Oryzias latipes: one gene and its partner. Each later gene encodes a partner of the first gene's protein in a complex. Links are inferred from orthologs where the notes say so. Each region holds a gene or a part of one and is shown in the gene's direction. Other genes may lie near its edges.

Region 1 (12,122 bases):
AGACCATTTCACCAGTGAGTTTAATGCAATAACTCTTTTAAAAATGTTTTCTTTGAAAACAAATCAAACATTATTGGATGAAATGTTGCGTTTAGAAACAAAACAGGTTAAGAAAAAAAAAAAGAAATGCCTCAGGTTTCACGTTGTGTTGTTTTGTTGATGTCCCTTGTTATCTGTGAGTCTTACTTATATCCGTGGGTTTGTTTTGTGTTGCCTGAAGGATCTGATGACAGTGGGGCGAATAGAGAAGCTGTTCATGAGCCAGAGACAGTGGGCACAGGGAGATGTGGGGATCCTTTGTTCGGACCAGAATGACATGAAGGCCATTTTTGACAAGCAGCAGTATGTCCTGCAGTTCTTCCTGGGCTTCCTCAAAATAAATCCTTTTTCATGTAAGCTTCATGGAACTCTCATACAGTGTCCTGCTAATGTCACATTTAGAAAAAGATTTAAAAAAGATTATTTACCAAAACCCCAAGGTCAGTCTTGTTAGTGAATTTTTGCTCATTCTATAGAACAACCGTTTTGCAGAAAATGCAACATGCAGGCTGCTTCCATAAATGCAACTATTCGCTCATCAAAATTAATTGAACTCAAACTGTACTTTTTGTGGTTTTGTGTTACTTCTTAATGTGAATTCATTCAGCAGAGATTGTTGTAGCCCACAACATTGTCCAGTTTTTTCTCAACCAGCATAAACTGGTCAGACTGCATGCAGATTAAAAAGTATTTGTTGCTCTTTTCTTGAGTTATTAATTTTTGTGTGTGAATGCCTCCTCTGACAGCAACACCCTTGGTTCCCACCTGTGAGATGCTGCACACAACAGCGCCCTCTGTCTGGACCTCCAGCAGTCTGAGCAGCATGTCATCATCCGCCTTCTCCAACTGTCTGGAGTTGATGGGCGGCGACTCAAATTTGGCATTCTTCCAACGTGGCGAGGTGCTCAAGAGGGTGAAAAAGGTTAGGTTAATATGTAACAGCCATGCATTCCTCTCAATTGTGTCGCTTCTGATCTGTAAAGGTCCTAATGTTGTTTTGTTTTCTGTTTATTTTCCCCTGGATCACCCTAAAATGGATCAAGATGTATGGCCCAGTGTCATCATTATCCCCGTCTGTGATTGCTCAGTTAGGTGTAATAGCGACAGAGATGACACCGGAAGAACTTAATGCTCTCCAACTGACCGAGAGAGGAAGCATTGCTGCCATGGGAGCTGTCAAATCTTGGAACAGCAGACAGGTAGCTTCTTTGTTCATAGTTGTTAAATTTTGATGATAGTTTCTTGGCTCTTTTTAAATGAGTAATCAATCCTAGTGTAACTTTACACATCAGTTCCAAAGAGCCTTTGACTCAGACTTTAACTGGAACTTCTCCTTTACTTCTTTTACTACTTGTTTTACAACTTTTTTTGTTCTTTATTTACTAATTGAAAACCCTATTTTAATATTACAAAAAAGTGAACTTCCTTCACAAATGAACTTGTAAATGCTAAGTCGCTAAAACATCACAGAAACCTATTTAATAAATATAGAAATTTTAAAATAAAATAAAAAAGCTGTTAAGGTGTTTTGCTGTATGCTAAATTAGATGTTGAAGAATTGAACCAAGCAAAAAAATAACTTAAAATGATAAAAATATTTTGAATCTGCTGATTCAAATTCAGCCTAAAAGGATAAATGCAAAAAGGAAAAAGCCTTATTGACATAAAACTGCCATAATAACAGGTAAATACAAAATTATCCAAAACAAATCTTGTGAATTTTGTGTAACTTTTAAAATTTCATTAAATTGCCAAGAAAAATCTAAATATATATATCTGTTCAAGTAAAAAAATGAGACAGTACTATCACATGTCTTGTAAAAGCTATACTATTCTTTTCCTCGGTGGTTACAAAAACTTTTTTTGTATTTCAAAGGTGAAATAAAACTTCTGTCGTTTTACCAACAAAAACAACGTATCTTGAAAATAAGATCTCACATGTTATGTCTGGTAATAGGGTTTCAGCAGTAGAACATCCAAAAATGCCCATAAGAGAGTAATTTACACTGAAAAAAATTGCTTTTTTTTTTTTACAAAGTTGTCCACTATTCTAGTATTGTTTATATCCCTGCTTTCATCTGAACTCCTCTCTTTTTGTAATCCCAGCTCGCTGCCCTGTTCGCTGCTTTGTTAAACTCCACCAAGCAGAGTCCCAACCAGCTAGACTCCAGCACTCTGGTGGCACTGGGACACATTATATGTGGAGCTAAAACTACAGAGATCAAGTTACTCAATAATGTAGAGTTCAGGTGAGCAGTCAAGATGCTGCAAAAGAATCATCTCCTCTTTAACTTCTACTCCAAACATGTGTATTTGTCCGGCTGCAGCAAGGCAGTGCTCTGTCTGGGTCAGCTGAGTCTCTCCTGCTCAGAGGAGCAGCTGCAGGCTCTTGTTGAGCTGCTCTCCCACAGCCTGGCCTTTGGTCTCATGAGTTCATGGGGGACTGATGTGTTCATGGAGATTGGAGTCCTGGCAGGTACTTTGAAAAAAAACCCCACTGAAAGATCTGAACTGATTACCCTGAATGTATTTCTCATCATTATTTTCAAAGTATATTATTTTAACATTTTTTATGTGCTCACAGCCTTCAGTGAAAATAATTTGACTTCCATGACACCCATTGCAATTTTAACTGTCTATTTCACAGCTGGTCTCCCTGATATTGCTATGTCAGCTTTAGTTCAAGAGCAAATTGAAGGAATCACCCCCAAGGCTATCTCAATGATTTCACCTCAAAAGTTTGCTGTAAGTTGTCATTACGAGAGTATTTTTAAAGATGGTATTGTGTGGAAATTGGTCAATAATCCATAATGAAAAAAATCAAATAATTCGAAAATATACATTCTGATTTCCATCTTTTTAATGAATCTCAACATTAGTGTTCCTTTATTTTGTTTGTCTGAAGGTGGCACTTAACCAGAAGCAGATCAGCATGTTTTCCTATGAGCAGGCGGCAGCAGTGACTCAGCAGCAGATCGCGGTTCTGTCGGATGTGCAGAGGACAGCTCTTGACATGGTGCTGACTCCCTGGGTGAATAAACCTGTAGACTTCAGAGGTAACTATAGAACCAAAGGTCTGTGGATAATTGGACATGGTTATGTAGTATTTCGATAACAAAACTGATTTGAACATTTTATTTCAATTAGTAATTTCCTTATAAATGAAAGGATGTAAAATGTGCACGAGAGAGGACATCACGCACATTGTGTGTTTATTTTTTTACTTGTTTTATCAGTTTTGTCATCACTCAAAAGATTTCTAAATGTAATTTTCTGCATCGTGTTCATATAATTTAAAATTCCAAAGTAAATTTCAAAGAGAGGGGTGTGCATTGTGAATAAAAAAAGCATTAAGCTGGGGGTTAGGGTGTTTTAAAATTTCTTTAGGATTTTAACTAAAAACTAATTATCAATAAAAATGAAATAGATTATAATTTACTTTACTATAGAGTTAAAAAGGACAAGGAATTAAAATGTCATTTTTAGATGGTACTTTGGACTGCAAGCTGCATTTTTCTAAATACGTACATGATCAAATTGCTTATTGAAATGACAGTTGCAAAATGCATTTTCATTGAATTATGGTTCCACAAAACATGACAATTTTAAACGTAACTGATTTCTTTCTATTTAAAAATGTAATAAAAAACTCCAAGATTAAGTTCAAAAAAACATTTTAATTGAATTGTAAAATGTCTTTTCAAATTGCTGCCCATAATCAAATGGAAAAATTAATTGTAAAGTGATAATAAATATCCCTGAGTTATGCATTCACATTTTTTGCCTTTTTAAAAAGCTGTAACACTTGTTAAGGGTTGTTCTTTGGTTAACTTACCTGCAACATGCCTTCTTTTGAAATGACAGTTGAATAAGGTGCCATTTTGCATGGCTATTGTGTTATATTAATAGGTCTGATTTTGTTTTTTCTGTTTCTCACAGGGAGGTCAATGGGCTTGGTGGTTGGCATCAATCCTTCATGTCTCATATTTGGACTACTGATGCAGCTAACTGTCTCATTCTGCCATGATACATAACCTCACTCTTCTAAGCTGCTTCAGGACTGTGATACAAAGCACAATAAAAAATATAAGCAAATAAGCAAGATACAGTTTTTGTGAAGAGGAAATAAGCAACATATCTGGAGTTCTTCATGTCATGTTTCCTGACATTTTAGTGAACGTTGTTGCAAATTCCCTTTTTTTTTCAAATTAGCTAAAAGTACAGCTTTGCTTTTGATATAAAAACACAATTATAACATTTTGCAGCGTTTTCATTTAAACCCCATATAAAACCTACAATAAATAAAAGTTAACATTTATTTTTCTAAAAACATGTATATTGACAAGGAAAAAATGTAAATTTTTTGCAAATGAAAAAATGTATTGACATTTTTTATTTGTCTGTATGTTACTGCAAACTGTCAGGTTATTTTGTGTATATAGTCAATAGTTAAGACTGGAAGTATTAGTGCTTATCAATGACAGTCTATTGTTGCTGTGAGTTTATTATTGTTGTGCTTGCTTAATTTTCTTTAACTTTTAGCTGAAATGTTCAGTTAAACCACTTGGGCTCTGAATGACTGTTACTTTATTAAAAGGAACCAACAATTAAACTTTTATTTCACAATGTATATTTTTACATTTTCTGTCTTTTGTTCTTAGATCTTCTCTCACTGATAACCTCAAATGTTTTGCATACATTTCAGGACTTTCGGAGGTCTAAAAAACAAATCCTGGCAGTCATAAGGCAAGAATCAGGGGACCGCAAACCCAACAGTAATCTATTCATCAGTCTTTTTCAAATATTATAAGTTCCGAATCATATCTAACAGGACAAATGTTCAATATTTATTCAAACCAGGGATACTCTTAGAAAAAACAAATTCATTTATTACTCTGTAATTGTTTAAAATTTTCTTTGAAATAAATCTCTGTTATCTTAGAATTTTTCTTTTGTGTTTAGTAACCTTGAAACATTATGGGCGTCCTGATTCTGTAGATCCAAGAAAAAACATATTTTTGATAGACATTATTTACAAGAACTTGTGAAGAAAAAAGTGGTATAAAAAGTTGGTCCACCTGAAAAGAAAATAGAAAAAAAAAAGATTAATAATTACAAATATTTATACGTTTTTCATTAATTGTTTTTATATTGTTATTTCTGCCATAGTGTTTACGTTTTTGAACATTTATAAGGGGGTTGGCAGTCGTTCCTTATAATTGTGAAAATAATCTAGAAATCATTTTTGTAAGTTTTTCTTTGTTTGTTTTAAATCATCGTGAATAAATTCCTCGCCTGAAATAGCTCTTTTGGCTCGGGGACGTCACATAAACTCGCGGTGACGTCAGGAGCAGCTACTGAGCATGCCCAGCGGCAGCAGCCTTCACGTTTCTCCGAGCCTGTCAAACACAGCCAACATGGCGGACTGGGGTAAGAAACTAAGTTGGGAATGGAATATATTTATACACCGTAGTCTTGTTGTAAACTTCTTTTAAAAGTTGAAAACTATATCACCATAAGATTATAGCGAGTTGTCTTCGCATATTGAATGTTTTTTCTTATTGTAGACGCCGAGACCTTCGAGCCAGAGGAGCCGCTTAAAAAGGCGGCAGTTGTTGTTGCAGTTATGGACAAATGGGAAGGCGAAGACGAAGAGGAAGATGTTAAGGTATGCCTTCATCATGTCATAGTCTTAACGTGTATATTTAAATTCAGGTATATCTGTATTGTTTTTTTAGCGGGTCGTTCACGAGAGTCACGCCGACGTTAGGCTTAAAGCAGATCGCTCTTGATGCCACGCTTCCTCCGTGTCCGTCAAGCCCAACCTTAGAACTGTGTTAGCTGTATGTTAGCTAGCGGATGGCTAACTCGCGTGCTTCCACAGACTGTCCAATGTTGAGCTAACACCAGCCCTCCGTCCGGGTTTCACTAAGTGACAACTGAACGTTGTTTTAGCAAACTATTAACAATAGAAATAATATCTGCTTTGGTTTATAGTTTAGACTTTGAAATATACTTTTCATTTTAGAGGATTTATTGGCATAGATATTTGCTAACAGTTAGCCTGTTTTGGACGCTCAGCTGGGCACGACGATGCTTATTTTAAAAAAGAAATGTCAGAAAAGTCCAACTTTTTTTCTTCTTTTTACCAAAAGTGGTAAAGTGAAAATAGGTGAATAATGGCAGTAACTGTGGGCTCCGGTCTGCTGACGTTAGCTAATAGCTCGCTTACCAACTTAGCCTCAGTCAGAGGAAATCATTCTCTCTGCTGATGATTCAACTCGGCCAAAAGGAGGCCTAGAATTTTCCGACTTTACGATGGCTGAGCAGGAGTTTTGAGCTGTTGCGGCTCAGCTGACACTGCAGCTCAGGTGGCTTATATGAAAATATCGTGTTTCTTCCCAAATAGTTCAGCCGTGGAAAGTCTTAGTGTAGGCCTTCCTGGGATAAATGTATATTTATTTATTTGGTCACATATGCCATGGTGTCAAAGCTTGGGAAAAAATTTACTTTTTTTTTGCTAGTAGTTTGCTATGTAAGCAAGTGTACTGTTTCATAAGTGATAATTGGACATGGATGGTCATTTCTGAATAAAACTGCTCTTTTAGTGAAAATATCTCATAAGTTTAAACTAACGTAACTAATTTATTAATTCATTTATTAAAATAAAGTACACTACCCACTACTAAAGGAACAGTAACCTTGTTTTTGGGGAAACATTAATAGTCAATAAGTACTAGGTGCTGTTGCAATTATTTTATTTAGGTTAATGAGTTTTATTTATTTTTGCTTAATGAATTGTTCTGTCATCTCATTTGAGATCACATGTTGTAAAAGCTTGAGTTAGGCTTCACAAAGTGGGTGAAGACATTTCTGTGGATTTGAGGGATAGGATTTGGCAACATGTTGCAAAAGACAAAGTGGTTAATGTTGCAATAAATGCAATAAAATAAAGCTCAGGAATTTCTGGTATAAACCAAATTAAGATAAACTAATTTAAAAAAGAAGTAAAAATACATTTTTAAATCAACCTTTTTTTTCTGGAAATAACCTAAATATGTTTTCTTTCTTTCTTTTTTTTAGGATAACTGGGATGATGATGAGGAGGAAGATGATGAGAAGAAAAAGGAGGAGGCGAAGAAACCAGGTACTATAATCATTAGGAAAAACTTGCATTTTTATGGGTATGAATGTTGAAATGTTTCAAACTTGTGTTTACAGAGACGAAAGTTTCTGATAAGAAAAGGTTAAGTGAAAAGATCAAAGAGAAGGAAAACCGGTTAAAGAAGAAACAGCAGGAGTTGCAAGAGCAAGTATGTGTTGCTATGGCCTTTTTTTATTTAAACGGTAAAACAATATTCCTATAATGTTATTGTTTTTTTGCTTTCTTTAGGAACAAGAGGAACTAACTCCTGAAGAACAACTTGCAGAAAAGTTAAGAGTGAAAAAACTACAGGAAGAGGCTGACTTGGAGTTAGCAAAAGATGCTTTTGGTAAGAAAGAGTTGGCCTCTTCATTTCTCTCTTTCCAGGAAGTTAAAAAGAAAGGATTTTGCTCTACACTATTTTTACAATTAAAAACATTTGTTGCACCAATGAAAAACTTTTTTTTAATGTAACTTTTTGTTCTTAGAAGACATCTAAAAACGTTTTTTTTTTTTTTCTTTCTCTCACCTCAGGTGTTGGCAGTGTCACCGGCATTGATGCCATGTGTCCATCCTCCAAAGAAGAATTCACAGAATTTGAAAAAGTGCTGAAAGAAAAGATATCCCAGTTTGAAAAGTCTGTGCATTATTCAAGTTTTTTGGAATCGTTGTTTCGGGAACTTTGTATTTCATGTAAGGAAGACCTCAGTTTCATTTATCCTCAACATCACTTCTTAAATGCCATTTTCTTTATAAATCCAAGCCGGCCTAATATGTGCATCTTTTTTCTTTTTCATGCAGTGGAAGTAGAGGACTTAAAGAAAGTCAGTAATTCCCTTTCGGTTCTACTTAGTGAAAAACAGAAACAAGAAAAAGTAAGTTCTTGATCATCTAAAAGTGACTACTTGTACAAAAGGGGGCGCTGTTGACACATGGCATTGTTGAGAAGTTTGTCTTCTCAATTTCAGCTTAATTTTTATCTGTTTTTGCTTTCACAGCAAAACAAGGGAAAGAAGAAGAAGAAAGGTGTTATAGCTGGAGGCGGTTTGAAAGCACAGCTGAGAGATGACCTTGACTATGCAGAGTTTGATGGTGGTTACGCCCAAGACTATGAGGACTTCATGTGACGATGGCTCCGTCACTGCTGTCTTCTCTCTCCCATCTTCAGAACTACAGCTGTACCTTCTCATGCTGTCCAGTGCCATCCTGGAAAATCTGAACTGTGTGTTGCCCCCTTCAATTTTGCTTCAGTGACCTGAGGGACCAAGGCAGGGAGCATCCAGTCTGGCCCCTTCACATTCTTACTTAAGGAACTGCCTTTTGTCTCATTCAGCCACAATTGACACACAAAACATGGAGTGTGCTGTGTGACCCAGCTTCAGAAGAAAATACATGGAAAGCACTGTTTGAATTTTGCAGAGCTGTTTTCTTATTAAAACATTGCTCCCGTCTAAAAAAAAAAAAGTGCAAATACAGTATCACAATTGAGTGTAATGACATAGAAACAAGATTCTATGCAAATCTTTAACCAGAATGTCATGGGCATATTACAGCCACTCTTTTCTGTGGATGGGCTTTCACAGGAAAGTATATAGTCTATACTTTGGTTGCCAAAAGCAGAGCAATTATTTAGTATGTTATTCATTCTTCTTTCTGGAAATGTTGGATTGTGGGTAATTTGAGACAGGCGCAATTAGTAATTTTAAAGAGCAAATAAGGTTGATTGTAAGATAAAAAGGGATAGAGTATAACAATGTGACTTTAAGACTGCTCAGCCATTCTCTTGATACATCTCTGGAATAAAGAAATATAAGTATTTTTCATGCATGTCAAATGCAATTTACTAATTTGATTTCTATTAATGCAGAAGAGGTATAGATCAGGCAAGTGAATGAACTTGTTCATGGTCTGTTAGTTGCTTCTGTGGGCTTGTATCAAGTGAGGTGAGGGATGCAGCTTCTGGGCTTCACTTCCCCAAAGACTGCAAATGGGGTACATCTAGTTTTAAGGGGCATACTTCTATTCTTTTCTAGCAGTTGACCAGTTTGAAATGTTACATAGAGAATTGGATACATGCAATGTTAAAGATAAAAGTATCTGTTTTTAAGCATCTAATTTAATAAATTACTGGTCAAAAGTAAAGTTGTTTTTTGGTTGTTAATTTTAGTGTTATTAAATCTACACGACTCCTGACTGCAATGACTTATTAGATTAAAAGGATGTACCAGATGGGAATTAATACACATTTGTAAATGAATTATTTCAATTGTTCTTTTGATGAGATCAGGATGGCTTTAATGTTTGTGTACCCAAACAGCTTTTATGTCAAAAGAACATTGAGGTTTCAGTGAAGTGAAGTACATTTCTAGGTAAAAAGAGGCAGATTTGGGGCTCTTCCCACGGGCCCCGGTCGGGCACAGCCCGAAGGAGCGACGTGGGACCGCTCTCCCATGGGCCCACCACCCGTGGGAGACCTCAAAAGGGGCCGGTGCAGTGTGGTTTGGGTGGCAGTCGAGGGCGGGTGCCTCGGCGGCCCAAACCCCGATCATGGAACCTGGCTTTTGGGACATGGAATGTCACCTCTCTGGGAGGGAAGGAGCCTGAGCTGGTGCGAGAGGTTGAGAGATACCGTCTAGATATAGTCGGGCTCACCTCCACACATAGCCTGGGCTCTGAAACTCATTCCTTATAGAGGGGTTGGACTCTCTACCACTCTGGAGTTGCCCAAGGTGAGAGGCGGCGGGCTGGCGTAGGCTTACTCGTGAGCCCCCAGCTCAGCCGCCAAGTGTTGGAGTTCACCCCGGTGGACGAGAGGGTCATGTCCCTCCGCCTCCGGGTGGGGGACAGGTCTCTAACTGTTGTTTCGGCTTACGGGCCGAACAGCAGTTCGGAGTACCAGGCCTTCTTGGTGTCTCTCGAAGGGGTACTGGAAAGTGCCCCAACGGGGGACTCCATTGTCTTCCTGTGGGACTTCAATGCCCACGTGGGCAATGACAGTGGCACCTGGAGGGGTGTGATTGGTAGGAACGCCCCCCCTGATCTGAACCCGAGTGGTGTTTTGTTATTGGACTTCTGTGCTCGTCATAGTTTGTCCATAACGAACACCATGTTCGAGCACAAGGGTGTCCATCAGTACACCTGGCATCAGGACGCCCTAGGCAGGAGGTCAATGATCGACTTTGTAGTTGTTTCAGGTGACCTTCGGCCCTGTGTCTTGGACACTCGGGTGAAGAGAGGGGCGGAGCTGTCCACCGATCACTACCTGGTGGTGAGTTGGATTCGCTGGCGGGTAAAGAGGCCGGAAAGACTTGGAAGACCCAAACGTACTGTGAGGGTCTGCTGGGAACGTCTGGCTGAGCCCTCCGTCAGGGAAGTCTTTAACTCCCACATCCGGGAGAACTTCAAACAGGTACCGGGGGAGGTTGGGGACATTGAGTCCGAGTGGACCATGTTTTCCACCTCCATTGTCTCTGCTGCTGCTCGGAGTTGTGGTCGCAAGGTCTCTGGTGCCTGTCGCGGCGGTAACCCCAGAACCCGGTGGTGGACACCGGAAGTAAGGGATGCCGTCAAGCTGAAGAAGGAGTCCTACCAGGCCTGGCTGGCCTGCGGGACTCCAGAGGCAGCTGACAGGTACCGGCAGTCTAAGCGAGCTGCGGCCCAGACTGTTGCAGAGGCGAAAACTCTGTCCTGGGAGGAGTTCGGTGAGGCCATGGAGAAGGACTATCGGTTGGCCTCGAAGAAATTCTGGCAAACCATCCGGCGACTCAGGAGGGGAAAGCAGTTCTCCACAGGCACCGTTTTCAGTGCAGGTGGGGAGCTGTTGACTTCGACTGGGGACATTGTCGGGCGGTGGAAGGAGTACTTCGAGGATCTCCTCAATCCCACTGACACGCCTTCTATTGAAGAAGTGGAGAGTGAGGATTTTGGGGTGGGGCTGTCCATTACCCGGGCTGAAGTCACTGAGGTAGTCAACGAGCTCCTCGGTGGCAGGGCCCCGGGGGTGGATGAAGTCCGCCCTGAGCACCTCAAGTCTCTGGATGCTGTGGGAGTGCCTTGGCTGACACGTCTCTGCAGCATCGCGTGGCGGTCGGGAACCGTACCACTGGACTGGCAGACAGGGGTGGTGGTTCCCCTCTTTAAGAAGGGGGACCGGAGGGTGTGTTCCAACCATAGGGGAATTACACTCCTCAGCCTCCCTGGGAAAGTCTATGCCAGGGTACTGGAGAGGAGAGTCCGTCCGATAGTCGAACCTCGGATTCAGGAACAACAGTGCGGTTTCCGTCCTGGTCGTGGAACAGTGGACCAGCTCTACACCCTATCTAGGGTGCTGGAGGGTTTGTGGGAGTTCGCTCATCCAGTCCATATGTGTTTTGTGGATTTGGAGAAGGCGTTCGACCGCGTCCCCCGTGGCATCCTGTGGGGGGTGCTCTGGGAGTATGGGGTCCGGGGAGCCTTACTGAGGGCTGTCCGGTCTCTGTATGACCGGAGTAGGAGCTTGGTCCGCATAGCCGGCAGTAAGTCAGACCTGTTCCCGGTCCACGTTGGACTCCGGCAGGGCTGCCCTCTATCACCGGTTCTGTTCATAGTTTTTATGGACAGAATTTCTAGGCGCAGCCAGGGGCCGGAGGGGATCTGGTTTGGGGACCACAGGATTTCCTCTCTGCTTTTTGCAGATGATGTTGTCCTGTTGGCTTCATCGAACCGGGACCTCCAGCGTGCATTGGGGCGGTTTGCGGCCGAGTGTGAAGCGGCTGGGATGAGGGTCAGCACCGCTAAATCTGAGGCCATGGTCCTTGACCGGAGAAAGGTAGTTTGCCATCTCTCGGTCGGTGGAGTGTCCCTGCCCCAGGTGGAGGAGTTTAAATACCTTGGGGTCTTGTTCACGAGTGAGGGAAGATCGGAGCGTGAGATTGACAGGCGGATCGGAGCAGCGTCCGTA
Region 2 (12,113 bases), on another chromosome or scaffold:
TTCAGGAGATTTTTCCAGCCTTCCTGACCCACAAAAAGGCAGTATGCAAGACTGTGATGGATGAGCTGCGGCGTACAGCAAAGTCTCCAGGTGATATGGCCAATCAGCTAAATGAAGCTCTTCACCTAAGATACGAGCGTGCACACGTGGCTTATCTGGGGACAGTGAAGAATGTTCTGGATGGAGAGAGCGGACTATATGGCCAGCAGACAATCACGGGGGCAATGAGGAAAACATCCACACCAGATCCTTTTGGTGGGTATACAGACATAGATGGCTGGTGTGGGGTAACAGTGACTTCACACTACCTGGTGGACTGCCTCATTCAGGAGTACCATAGGGAGGAGGGCACGCTCAATCTGCTCCTTCAAGGCACTTTTGGTGAGGTCTTGAGGGCTGACCACACCCGAAAGGTGGCACGGAAGGTTGTCCTGGCATCAGGCACAATGTCATCTTATGCAGTTATGAATGAAAACTGGATGATTTTGTCCTGGGTGATGCTGCAGTCAGAAAGCGACAAGTCTCTGGAGCCAATGTACGACGGGCTGTCCCGGCGTTACATTTCTGCAGCGCTGCCAAAAGCAAAGTACCAGTGGGTTGACAGGTGAGACAAAACTTTGTTCATTTTACTTCTAATTTAATGGTTTCAACAGTAAAAACGTGAAAAACATAAGTAAATATTGTTTTAAAAACAATCCCTTTATTTGCACAATAAACAATTAAAAGGTGCTTTACCTGCGTGTATGGACAGGGATTGCTGCTCTCCATTCAGGATCCCAAACTCCCAGCCTCAGGAGCATCTTCTCTGGGATTCCTGGAAGACCACAGAGGCTATAGTGGGTGAAGCAACATCTGGAGACTTCACCAATAGATGTGCATCCCGTACCAAATACAACAGAGAAATAAGCATCAAGCTGGACTTGTTTCACTGCATGCGGCGGTTCACCAGGGAGTGCATCTCAGAGCATCATCCACTTCACAGCTCCTTCTGCAAGTTCCTTTCGGCAGCTTTTTGTGTGGTGGACCAAACCGATCTTCAGAGGCTGAAGGAGGCCTACACCTTCTGTGGGATCCAGCCAGCTAACCCCACAAAGCAGCACATCAGGGAGCACTGCCGCACCAAGATCCCAGAACCCAGAGAGCTGCTGGTGCGGGTGGAGAGTGTTCTGAAGAGGTTCTTTTTGGAATCGGATCCAGATGGCATACCACTGTTTAAGGCAACAATGCTGAAAGTGTGGAGGATTCAGCGCGTTCACATCCTCAGGGGCTGTCTGAGCGACCCGGAGGTGGGAGACGGGATCCTCTACAGACACGGTGGCACGTTACAGCTGAACCACATCAAGGGGGAAGCGGCAGCGGTACCGATCTGGATCCCGGTGCGAGGAACATCCCAGCAGGAGGGATTTCATTTCCACCAGTCCAAATGGGTGACAGGAAATCAGGTCTCGACAGAACTTTTCCAGGCCCAAGGCATGACTGGAGTAGCTCGGTGGAACTTCCAGCGCCTTGTGAGCCTGAAGCAACCTGGTCTGAAGCTTCCTTCAGTTTTTAATCCAGCTCTGATTGTACAGCTGAACAAACTGTCAAAGGAAGTGACAGGACAAGCTAAGTACCCTGCCTTAGTCTTGTCACAGGCCGACACTGGGGAAAGGTTTGGACTGCAGTATGTGGAGCCTGGCTGCCGTCCGGTTCCTCTTCACTGGGACAAACACAAGTCTCAGAGAGACCCGGTTGTTGAGGAAGAAGAGTGTTTGTCTCCAGAACCACCTCCTTCCAATGAAACAGTCATCGACCTGCCTGAAGAACATGGAGAAGAACACTCTGCTCATGTAAGTTTGTTGTAACAAACATCCTCACTCTATTACAATAAAACTGCAGCTACATAACAAGTTTAAACTAACTGAATGGTCCAATGTTTCAGGATAATGTCTTAGGTGTGGTTGCTGATGACTCACTAGCAATGACCCAAGCCCCTGAAGTGAAAGGTAATTTAGTTCAAATTTTCAGCCTTTTTTAATTTATTTGTGCATTGCATTCAAGGAAAGAGAAGTGAGAAGGGTTAACTTTTCTCTTTTTTCCTCTCCATCAGATGTCTCAACGACACCACCACCACTGCCTTTTGCTGCCTCTCCACGCGCAGCTCGCACTGGTCCTATCAAAGCAGGGGGTCTGCTTTTTGTCCTGGACCATTCTCGTTGGACAAATCCAATGAGAGATGCCATTGATGTCCTTCTGGCAAAGCACCATGGACAAAAGGACTTTCTGAGCAAGGTAGACGCAGAGTATGCCGCCCTTGTTCAAACTGCCTCCAGGAATCCCAACAGCCTCCTCCACCCCACCACTAAACAGCACATCTCCCGCTACGTGAAGCACATGGCGAAGATGATTAACAGAAGTTCGTCTATGAACACTAGTCCCGAAAAACTTTTGGAAACCCAGCAGCTGTGGCATAAACTCACTGAAGGCAGTGAAACTGTCACTGTGCCAGTTGTGACTCTCCCTCCTGCTCCAGTGAACCCCCCCAGCTCTAAACCAGATGAAGCTCCTTTAACGAAGACTGACGTTGAAAAAATGGTGAAGGAGATTGTAGGTCTGCAGCAACAACAGCAGAAACCTGAAAAAAAAATGACAAGGAACTGTCTTGCTTGTGGGCAGCCAAAGTCTCGTTACCTTGGTGATGGATCTTCTGTTCATTTCTTTTATCAGTCTGGGGATGTGAGATACTTCTACTGCTCCAAAAAAGTACTCCAGATCTATGCAGCAGAAGGCCTTACAAACCCCAGGATGCCATTTGCAGACTTTGCTGCCACGCCATTTTTTGAGAGAGAGTTAAAGGCTGCAAAGCAGAGGTCTGCACAATGCAGAAAGGTTTTGGAGGACCGACAGAAAAGAAAGGCAAGGGAGCAGCATCCCAGTGGGCGTCTGTGCAGGTTCTGCCACAAACCACTGAAACAAGGTCCAGAGAGTCCACACATACACACCGGGTTCCCTGGTGTTGTGGGGAAGTATGTTTACTGTCCTGCCAGAGTCTTGTCCCTCCACCGGGCAAATGGGATGACTCAAGAAATGACCTGGGAGGAGTTCTCTCAGTCTCCTTTTTATGAGGCTGAAAAGATGAGGTGGGCTGCTGGCCGGCAAGCAGAAGAGGGAAAGAGATAGCTTTTATGTCTGTTCTATTTGTTATCAAAAGATGTTGCTGTTTTGACCACTTTTGTCTCATTTTACCTCAGCTTGTCATATTGGATGAGAAATAAGTGTAAAACGTCAAAATCTCTGCTAAACCTGTCTATATGTTTGCCTGTATTAAGTTCTCTTCTGATAACACACTGATTATGATAGAACTCGTGGTGTTATCTATCAATGTGAAAATATTTGTAATTTAGTTTGTGAAATCTATTTTGTGAATACAATTTTCTTACATATTTATTATTAGTGTTTAGTTTTGATAGAAAAAGCAAACATATTTACTACTTCCTCAATTCATTTTACACCTTTAAAATACTTGTATTAAAGTTTTGCCTGTTTAAACCCTTCTGCCCTTCAATTGTAAATCCATGGTTGAACATTTTGGTACATTTTGTGTTAAATACTGTGTTTTATTTATTTTCATGTTGATTTCTTAATAAAACATAGTTGAAATTGAAATGAGCAACAGATCATGACTGTTATTTGGAACAAGGAGAGACAGAAGTAGAAAACAATAATTATGAAATGTCATATTCAGTTTAACAAAAACATTTATTATACCACAACTTCTGACTGACATCACTCTAACCGGGGTTCGAACTCGGGACCAAAGGATTTCATCAGCTTGGACAGCGCTACACAAGCCACAGTTTGATTGGCTGACTATGCTGCAGTAGCTGCAATTTGATTGGCTGTTCCGTGTTACAGGTATATACGGCTGGCCTTCGCGTGGCAGGCGAGAATTCTACCACTGAACCACCAATGCAATAGTTTATTGTGCATGAACACCTGCATTTATTGTACCATTCAAATCACATACCATGACACATTTCTGGGTCGACGGAGAAAAAGCGGAATGAGTTTAATTAAATTCATCAAATAGAAGTAAACCTTCAATGATAACACTCACCACAAACAGTTTTTATTGAGACGTTTTCGAGTTCATGGCGAGTCCAACGTGCCCTCAAAACGCAAATGCACAGATGGATAGATGGAATTTTGGTTTATTTCATTTTATTTTAAAGGTATGCTGTAACTGAAAGCCAAAACAAGGTGGTTGAATGACAGTTTTTTTTTGTGACTATTTAAATTTTTTGGCTCTCTTTTCATTCTTTTAGTTTTATTGTTTTGTTTTCCTGTTTCTCTTTATTTATTGCGCTCATCTTCCGCCGTTTTTCGGCAGTTAACCCCTTCTACAATTTTCAACTATTTTTAACCATTCAACTATTAAAATGTTCAGCTCTTTCAGCTTATTCCTGCTATGGCTTTTGGTTTTTCAAATCCTTCAACTTTTCAAGATATTCCAGGATTTTCAAGGATTTATCTCCATTGAAATACACAGGGAAGTGTTGGTGCATGAGGTCGCTGGTTCAAGACCCCGTTCGGACGTTTCAAATTTTTTAGTTTAACTTAATTTCTTCCGTTTTGAGAAAAAAGCTTTCGTTGTAGAAGGATTTAAAAAGAAAAGAAGGAAATATTACTGAAAGAAGGTGTTTGATAGTTTTGCATCTTTTCAGACTTCTCTTTATTTTGATGTGGCCAACATGTTGCGTCTTATTCTTAACACAATTTTTAAAAGTTAGATTTATATTTTTTCCCTTCTAAATGTAACCAAAAACACTAAAAGACAGTTTTAGAAAACAAAATTATGTCTGAGAGAAAAAAAAAACCTTTTCATGTAACTAAACTGAAAGGTTGAATGACAAGTTTTTCAGTTTTTCTTCTTTGTTTTCTAGAAATGTAGAGATTAAAACAACACAAAATGAATACACAGATGAAGTGGCTGACATCTCACAAAGGTCTATTTTCAGAGCAGTGTTTACAGTCACAACGCTTCAACAGCAAAGCCAAGAGGGTGGAACTTTTATTTTATTTTTTATGCATTACTCATCTCCTCTCTGAAAGGCCTTTGAGGCCAGACTAAATGTTCTCTGCAAAAGACAAGGTCATCAAGGCCAAAGAAACTCAATTTTTTGGAACCTGAAGGTCTGTCTTGGCTCCATCTGCACAGTAGTGTGAGTTGCTGCTTATTGAGAAGCACCATATCTATAATGGACCTAAATGTGTATTGTTTCAAAGAGTGGGGAAGTCAGTCAAAAAATATATTTTATAAAAAAAGGTTTCCTTTTCCAAAATGCAGCAAATAACAACCTTACAGAATCCATAAAATGCACAAAACTTTTTAGATTCTCAAAATTGAATACACTGGTAGTTTCAAAGTGGCAGTAATGAAATACAAATCTTTTTTATGATTTGTTTAAGGGTTGGAAGTAATGCCATCAATTTAAAAGAAACTTTTGATTTGTCTCCCTCAAGTAGAAAATCAGACCAGAAAAAAAGTCAAACTTGTGTACGGACTTTTATTTTGGTAAACCCGGTTCTCTCGCATTTACTCAGTTCATGCTTCCGGTCCGACCTCTTTTCCCTTCCGGCTTGGGTCTTTTTCTCTTTTAGCGGTGCACGTGCAAAGATACATCTGTTTTTTACCTGAAAGTATTTTGTTAAACATCTGGAGAGATGGCTTCGTCGTTCGAGCAGATGAGGGCGACAGTAGGGAGACTCTTACGGGGGATCGACAGGTATGAATCCAACGAGAGAGAAGAGGAAAACGGGCGCGAGGGCTAGCTTAGCTTCTTGTTTGCTAACGTTTGAGAGACTCGTCGAAATTAAAAACTTTCAATTAATTTCTTTAAATTGAAGTTGTTTTATCAATGTCATTTGCGTAAAAAAATGTTTTACATTTATTTTTTAAATGTAAATGCCATAATAGATTGGCTTTACTTTCAGGATCTTGACCGGAACCAAATACTTAAGTTAATTATTAATAGACCCTAATTTAGAGGTAAAGTTACTCTTAATAATCATAAAGAAACTGAACATCAGAAAGTATTAAGTGCAGAAACAGATTCATTTAGGTAAATTAATTATGCTATGGATGCATTAAGATGATCATATCGATCTGTATGTTGTTGCTTTGTGATGACTGATCAACTTAGACAGATGTGAGTTGTCTTTTAAATAATGTCCGTACAGATAAACTAAAGGTCTGATTTGAAATATAATAATGCAATTTAATTCCACCATAATAATAAAAAAATCAATAGCATTAATATTTTTTAATGTAATACAGCTTTTAAATCATAAAAAGTTAATTTTTTTAGTTTTATTTTGAAACGGTTTTCTACCACTAAACTATTAAAAAAATAATGAACTGGTGAATCAAAAATGTAGAACCCGCTGGGCCTTAAACTAAGTTTGATTTCTGTTTTGATGCTGTGAAGGTCTCTTTGTTTGGGGGATTTAACCCCTTTTTATTGCACATCTGTGGGCTGACTTTCTCGTAAAAATGCATGAAAAACATCCCAGAGGACCAACGTTCCTTACAGTAGCAGCAGTTATGGCTTGTAAACTCCCAGCTTCTGTGCATCTTCACAGGTACAACCCAGAAAACCTCGTCACACTGGAGCAGTACGTGGACACGCAGGCCAGGGAGAACGCCTACGACCTGGAGGCCAACCTGGCCGTGCTGAAGCTGTAAGCTGCCGCTGCGTTCGGGTCGGTGCGACGCTCGGGTTTCCCGTCGTGAGATGACAGATTCCCCTTTGAACCCGCAGGTACCAGTTCAACCCAGCTTACTTCCAGACTCCGGTGACCGCGCAGATTCTGCTCAAGGCGCTCACCAACCTGCCGCACACAGACTTCACTCTCTGCAAGTGCATGATCGACCAGACACACGTATCCTTTTGTTGCTCTTCAGTCTGAGATCAGACCAGCTTCTGCTTCGTTATCTTCTAAGGTTTTTAGTGTTTCTGTCAGTTTAAAGTCCCACTCCGATCATCTTCTGATCTATTCTCAAAGCGTTCCCAGTGGTTTTTTTAATTATGATTATAACTTTTTCAGCCAAAATAAAAAAAACACTGTTGTTTTCTTCTGGCATAGTTTCTGTTTATGATCTTCAACAAACGGCATTTTTCCTGATTCACGACGATTTAAAGAAAGAAATACTCAGAAATGCAGTTTTGAGCTTCATTTTCTTATTATTCGTCGTCAGAAAAACATGTTAGAAACATTGGAGTGGGTCTTTGTGGTGGAGAGTCTTCTGGTGGACACCAGGAACTCCATTTTCATTGGAGGGGGTCTGTAGTACCAATATAACAATCAGAGTCAACCCCGTTACTGTTGTTAACTTTGGCCACTTTTTTTTTTCAAATGTGAATAAAAGCTGAGGTTTTTCTTTTAGCTTTTTAACAGCGAGGTCTCATTTCTGGAGAATAACTAGCTGGTTGGTTAAAAGTGAATAATTCTTAGGTTGACCTGGGATGGGGGGGAGTGTTTCCTTGACTACAGTGTCGCAGCAAGAGGAGCGCCCCATCAGGCAGATCCTCTACCTGGGGAACCTGCTGGAGACCTGCCACTTCCAGAGCTTTTGGGTGCGGTGCAGATCGTGTTCTCGGATCAGATCTCCAGACTTTGGAGTCTGTGAAGAAATGAAACTTTTCTCTGGCTCTTCTCTCCTGTCAGACGAGTCTGGAGGAGAACCGGGAGCTCATTGACGGCATCGCCGGTTTCGAGGACTCCGTTCGCAAGTGTGAGTATCGCCTTACAGGAGACGACGACGGCTCTGACCCGAAGGAGACACGTCTCTGAGCGTCTTCCTCCTCCTCTGCAGTCATCTGCCATGTGGTGGGCATCACCTACCAGACCATTGACCACCGGTTACTGGCTGAGATGCTGGGAGACCCGCTGGGTAAGAACCGATCCACCAGATCCGCCGGTTGATCCGCCGTTGGCGACGGTCGGAGGTGTTGAAGCTGCTTCCGCTTCCTGCTGCAGACACGCAGGTGAAGGTGTGGATGAACAAATACGGCTGGACGGAGAACGAGGACGGGCAGATCTTCATCTACAACCAGGAGGAGAGCATCAAGCCCAAGAACATTGTGGAGAAGATCGACTTTGAGAGTAAGTCCAGCTTTTATTTCTGGAGATCTCCGCCGAGACGAAGCAGAACCTTCCAGGTTTCACGTGTTTCGTCTCCCGTCTGAAGAAGTTCTCCTGCTGTTTGTTTTGTCTGCAGGTGTTTCCAGCATCATGGCCACATCTCAGTGAGAAAAACAGCTTAATAAAAGTAAATTATCACCAAAAACCGATGGATTTGTCTGGTTTTAATGTGCACTTTTTGCTGTTTCATGTTTATTGATGTGCTGAGTCATCAGCCAGGTGGTTTTTCACAGCATCACACTCCTCCGTTTGATCCCGAGGGGTCGCCTCTTCTCTGACCTGATCGGGTTTTTGCTGACTTGACGGCATCAGAATCCGGAAGTGGCTGTGATGAGAAGCCCCGCCCCCTCACGTGAAGGTGTTGGAAATGATCCCAAATGATTTCGTTTGAGCTCTGTACATATTCCAACAGAGCAGTGGGACTTCATGAAGTGAATTATGGAAAACCGGTGTGGGATTTAGGTGAGGATCTGCTCAGGCTTTCCTGTTTTTATCAAAATAAAAGCCTGTCAATGGTCACGCGTGTGTGTGAGAAATTTGCTCTTTACATTTGGGACGGTTCAACCCTCGAATTCCAGCCTGGAGCACGGAGGAATTCCAGATGATTTTTATGACCCAGCTGGATTTAAACCCACAACCTCCCAATGTCTGGGCAGACACTCTACCACAGAGCCACTGAGCAGCTCCTCCAGGAGATTGTGCTCTAAATTAACTCTGCTATTTTTATTTAAGTTGTTTAACTTAAGAATAAACTTAAGTTGAATAAGAATAAACTTAAGTTGTTTATTTAAGAAGTTTCCCTTCTCTACCTCTGTGCCGGTCCCAAGCCCGGTTGCTTTGAGAAGGTTGCGTCAGGAAGGGCATCCGGCGTAAAACATTGCCAAATTTACCATGCGACTTGTTCGCTGTGGCGACCCCTGATGGGAAAAAGCCGAAAGAGAAACAACATTTTTATTTAAGTTGTATGAGTGTCACAAAATGAAATTGTTTTTGGTAAATATAGATGCATCTGAAGATTTTATTCAGTTGATCACATTAAGGAACATTTATTTCAGTTTTTTTTTTAACTTTGCATCTTTAAAGTTTCACCATTTTTAATGAACTAACTGAAATAATTCATGATTAAAATAGAACTAGGTAGAAAAAAAAGACGTTTTTAAAGTAAACTTCTTTGTTAGACCGTGCAGAGATTATCTGCATGTAAAGTCAGGTCAGGTGCTGCTGCATTCTGGGAGAAAAATCCGGAAAAAATGTCAACAATTGGAAAAAAGTTGCAGAATTTTTAAATACCTTCAGACTTTTTTAGTAAGTTAGAGGATTTCTTTTTTTTTTTTTTATGCCATCGCATTTGTCTGGAACAGAAAAAAAACACAATGCAGGTTCTTCTCGGAGCTCGTTAAAGGAAATGGAAACGGAGGATGCGTTCATGGAACAGAGACAGGAAGACGAGAGTCGAGGCGCCGCCGCAGACAGTCAGGGGGAGATGAACCAGCAACCGCGGGGACATGAGGGATGCATGGAGTCCACATTTTAATACAAAGTCGATTCTACAACATCTGAACATATAGCATTATGAAAAGATTTTCGGAGATGAAAGCTAAAAAGACCCAGAGAGAAAATATCAGCTGAATTTTCAAAATAAAAGACCACCTTCAGACCCCTTTGTGTTGAACTTGTGATGTCAGGAGTTTCCTAAAACGTCATTTTTGAGAACTCTGGGAGTAAGGATTAAAAAAAAACATTTTAAAAATGTGTTTTTTAAAATCTTTGTGCTTTGATTTATTTTGAAAAAAAGTACAATTAAAATAAAGATTTGATGATGTGATTGTGTGACTTCAGATGGAGCCAAAATGCTGATTTAAAAAAATATTTCCAACATGACGTCACAATGACAGATGTGAAAATGGAATAAAAATTCAACTGCGTAGATTAAACAACAATGACTAACAGAGCGCGTCATTAACAGAACATTAACAGAACCTTCATTAACAGAACACTCACCCAAAGTAACAATAACGAAAGTTTTTTTTTAAGGTTTTAAATGTAATTAAACTGTCATAAGCGCCTCTAGAGTTTTCTAGGAAAATCTGAAATCCATTCATAAATGCAGAAATAAAGTCTTAAGTTTCCATTTTTAAGCTGCTCCTCATCGATCAACAGCAAATCATGACCGACAGAGAAGCCACACCTTCACCTGTGTGGGGGGCGTGGCTTCAGCTCCTTTACCTGTATGTGTGGGGGGCTCAGCTCCTTCTGTGTGTGTGTGTGGGGGGGGGCTTCAGCTTCTTTACCTATGGGGGCGTGGCTTCAGCTCCTTTACCTGTGTGTGTGGGGGCGTGACTTCAACTCCTTTACCTGTGGGGGGCGTGGCTCATCTCCTTTACCTGTTTGTTAGGGGGGCGTGGCCTCAGCCCCTTCATAAAGAGGTCTCTGCGCGAGGTCGGGCAGGTAGACATGAGGAGGTCCAGGACTTCGTCGTCGGGGAGCTCCCTCCCGCCGCTGGACGAGGACGTGACCCCCATGGAGGAGGAGGACGGGAACGAGCTGCTGGGGTCCCAGTCCCGCCGCTGGCTGGCGGACCTGCTCAGCGGGGACCTGGCGGCGCCGGCCGCGGACGGGGTGACCTTGGGCCGTGACGGGCTGTTCGTGGACTACCAGTTCCCCGTGGGGGAGCTGGAGATGCAGGCGGGACTGAAGTGGAAGCGACCGAAGGTGAGGAGGGCAAAGAAGCAGAGAGGAGAATGCGGTAAACTCACTCTAATACACATTTAGAAACACCTTCCTGCTATTTCTGTGCAGAAATCATCATTTTGGTTCGGAGGTTTAGGATCCACTTTGGCTTTGGGGGTTTGTCGTGACAGACTCTCCACGCAAAGACCCATGTTTTTCTGATGACGAATAAGAAGAAAAATTAAGCCCAGGACTGCATTTCCGAGTAATTATTTATTCAAATTGTTGTATAATCAGGAGCAGATGGAAAAGAAATCAGCTTTAAAAAACTTGTAGTTGTGACGTAGGAAACACGTTCTGCTGGGACGAGCTCCTTGCTCCGCCCCCTTTCTGACGCATCCACTTGCAGACGACCAGATGTTCGTTTTCGTCCGAGCCGATATGTGGCTCAAAACTAAACAGCTGTACCTCTCTGGTATTGCTCACCGTTTTTAAATAACGTAATTGTGCTTAAATCACTCAAAATGCAAATATTGAACCGTAAATGTGCATAGAGTCTAATGCATTTCAGATACATAGTGACAAATAAATATATTTAAAGCATTCTGAAGGAGCTTCTATCCTGTGTTGAGATGGTTCTTTTTCACCTAAGATTTGCAATAATTATCTCTGTCTGAACACAAATTCATGTGAATTAGGGACTTTTTGTCATTTCTGCATTCAGAGGCCACCTCCGTTAGCTCACACACCGTCCCAAAGAAGGAAATTTTGATCCGAATGAGTCTGATGGGGGCAGAGTATTCGGAATGGCGTGTTTGCATGACGCATTTCTATTCTGATCAGACGTTCATTCTGATTACTTTTGTCCATGTAACCGTTGCGTATGTCCTTGAAAACAACTCCCCCCCCCCCCTTTCTTGCTAAAAACAGCATGATCACAGTGAAAAGACCACTGAGAGCACGATCAGAGGATGATCAGTGGGTCTTTAACGGTTGATTTAAATGCAGGTGTATTATTTTTGCACTAATTAGTTTCTTGTCTTTATACTGTATATGTCAGGGTTGGGGGGGTATGAGAGCAGGTAGGACCCAGACGCAGAGGCAGGAGGCACACGGTTCCAAGGCAAGGTGTTTAATCACAAACAAAAAGCGCTGCAGAGCAGGATAACAAAACTAGAACTAAACTTACTGTGGCAAAGCATGAAACATGGCATGAAGGGAGTCAGGGACAAAGAGACCTTAAAGACGTTAGTGACGTT

Evidence for each region.
Region 2: eif3j (region 1) and eif3k share a complex: the UniProt entries of both Homo sapiens proteins name them as parts of the eukaryotic translation initiation factor 3 (eIF-3) complex. The link is inferred for Oryzias latipes from reciprocal best matches to the Homo sapiens genes EIF3J and EIF3K.

Annotation. Positions count from the first base shown.
Region 1 is NC_019861.2:18,395,601-18,407,722, reverse strand, and holds eif3j (eukaryotic translation initiation factor 3 subunit J), read left to right. Parts: upstream 1-5,354; 5' UTR 5,355-5,402; coding exon 5,403-5,469; intron 5,470-5,606; coding exon 5,607-5,707; intron 5,708-7,122; coding exon 7,123-7,186; intron 7,187-7,260; coding exon 7,261-7,352; intron 7,353-7,432; coding exon 7,433-7,532; intron 7,533-7,717; coding exon 7,718-7,876; intron 7,877-7,984; coding exon 7,985-8,058; intron 8,059-8,181; coding exon 8,182-8,310; 3' UTR 8,311-9,325; downstream 9,326-12,122. Other genes in the region: stereocilin, read left to right, coding at 1-14, 221-392, 786-961, 1,083-1,238, 2,146-2,288, 2,367-2,515, 2,687-2,784, 2,945-3,095 and 1 more. UniProt on the Homo sapiens protein: Component of the eukaryotic translation initiation factor 3 (eIF-3) complex, which is required for several steps in the initiation of protein synthesis.
Region 2 is NC_019871.2:2,893,141-2,905,253, reverse strand, and holds eif3k (eukaryotic translation initiation factor 3 subunit K), read left to right. Parts: upstream 1-5,586; 5' UTR 5,587-5,703; coding exon 5,704-5,765; intron 5,766-6,621; coding exon 6,622-6,720; intron 6,721-6,800; coding exon 6,801-6,921; intron 6,922-7,538; coding exon 7,539-7,616; intron 7,617-7,707; coding exon 7,708-7,774; intron 7,775-7,855; coding exon 7,856-7,933; intron 7,934-8,019; coding exon 8,020-8,145; intron 8,146-8,260; coding exon 8,261-8,292; 3' UTR 8,293-8,311; exon of another isoform or gene 8,312-8,331; intron 8,332-8,417; 3' UTR 8,418-8,703; downstream 8,704-12,113. Other genes in the region: uncharacterized protein LOC111948454, read left to right, coding at 1-604, 752-1,829, 1,922-1,985, 2,090-3,159; calpain-3, read left to right, coding at 10,639-10,896. UniProt on the Homo sapiens protein: Component of the eukaryotic translation initiation factor 3 (eIF-3) complex, which is required for several steps in the initiation of protein synthesis.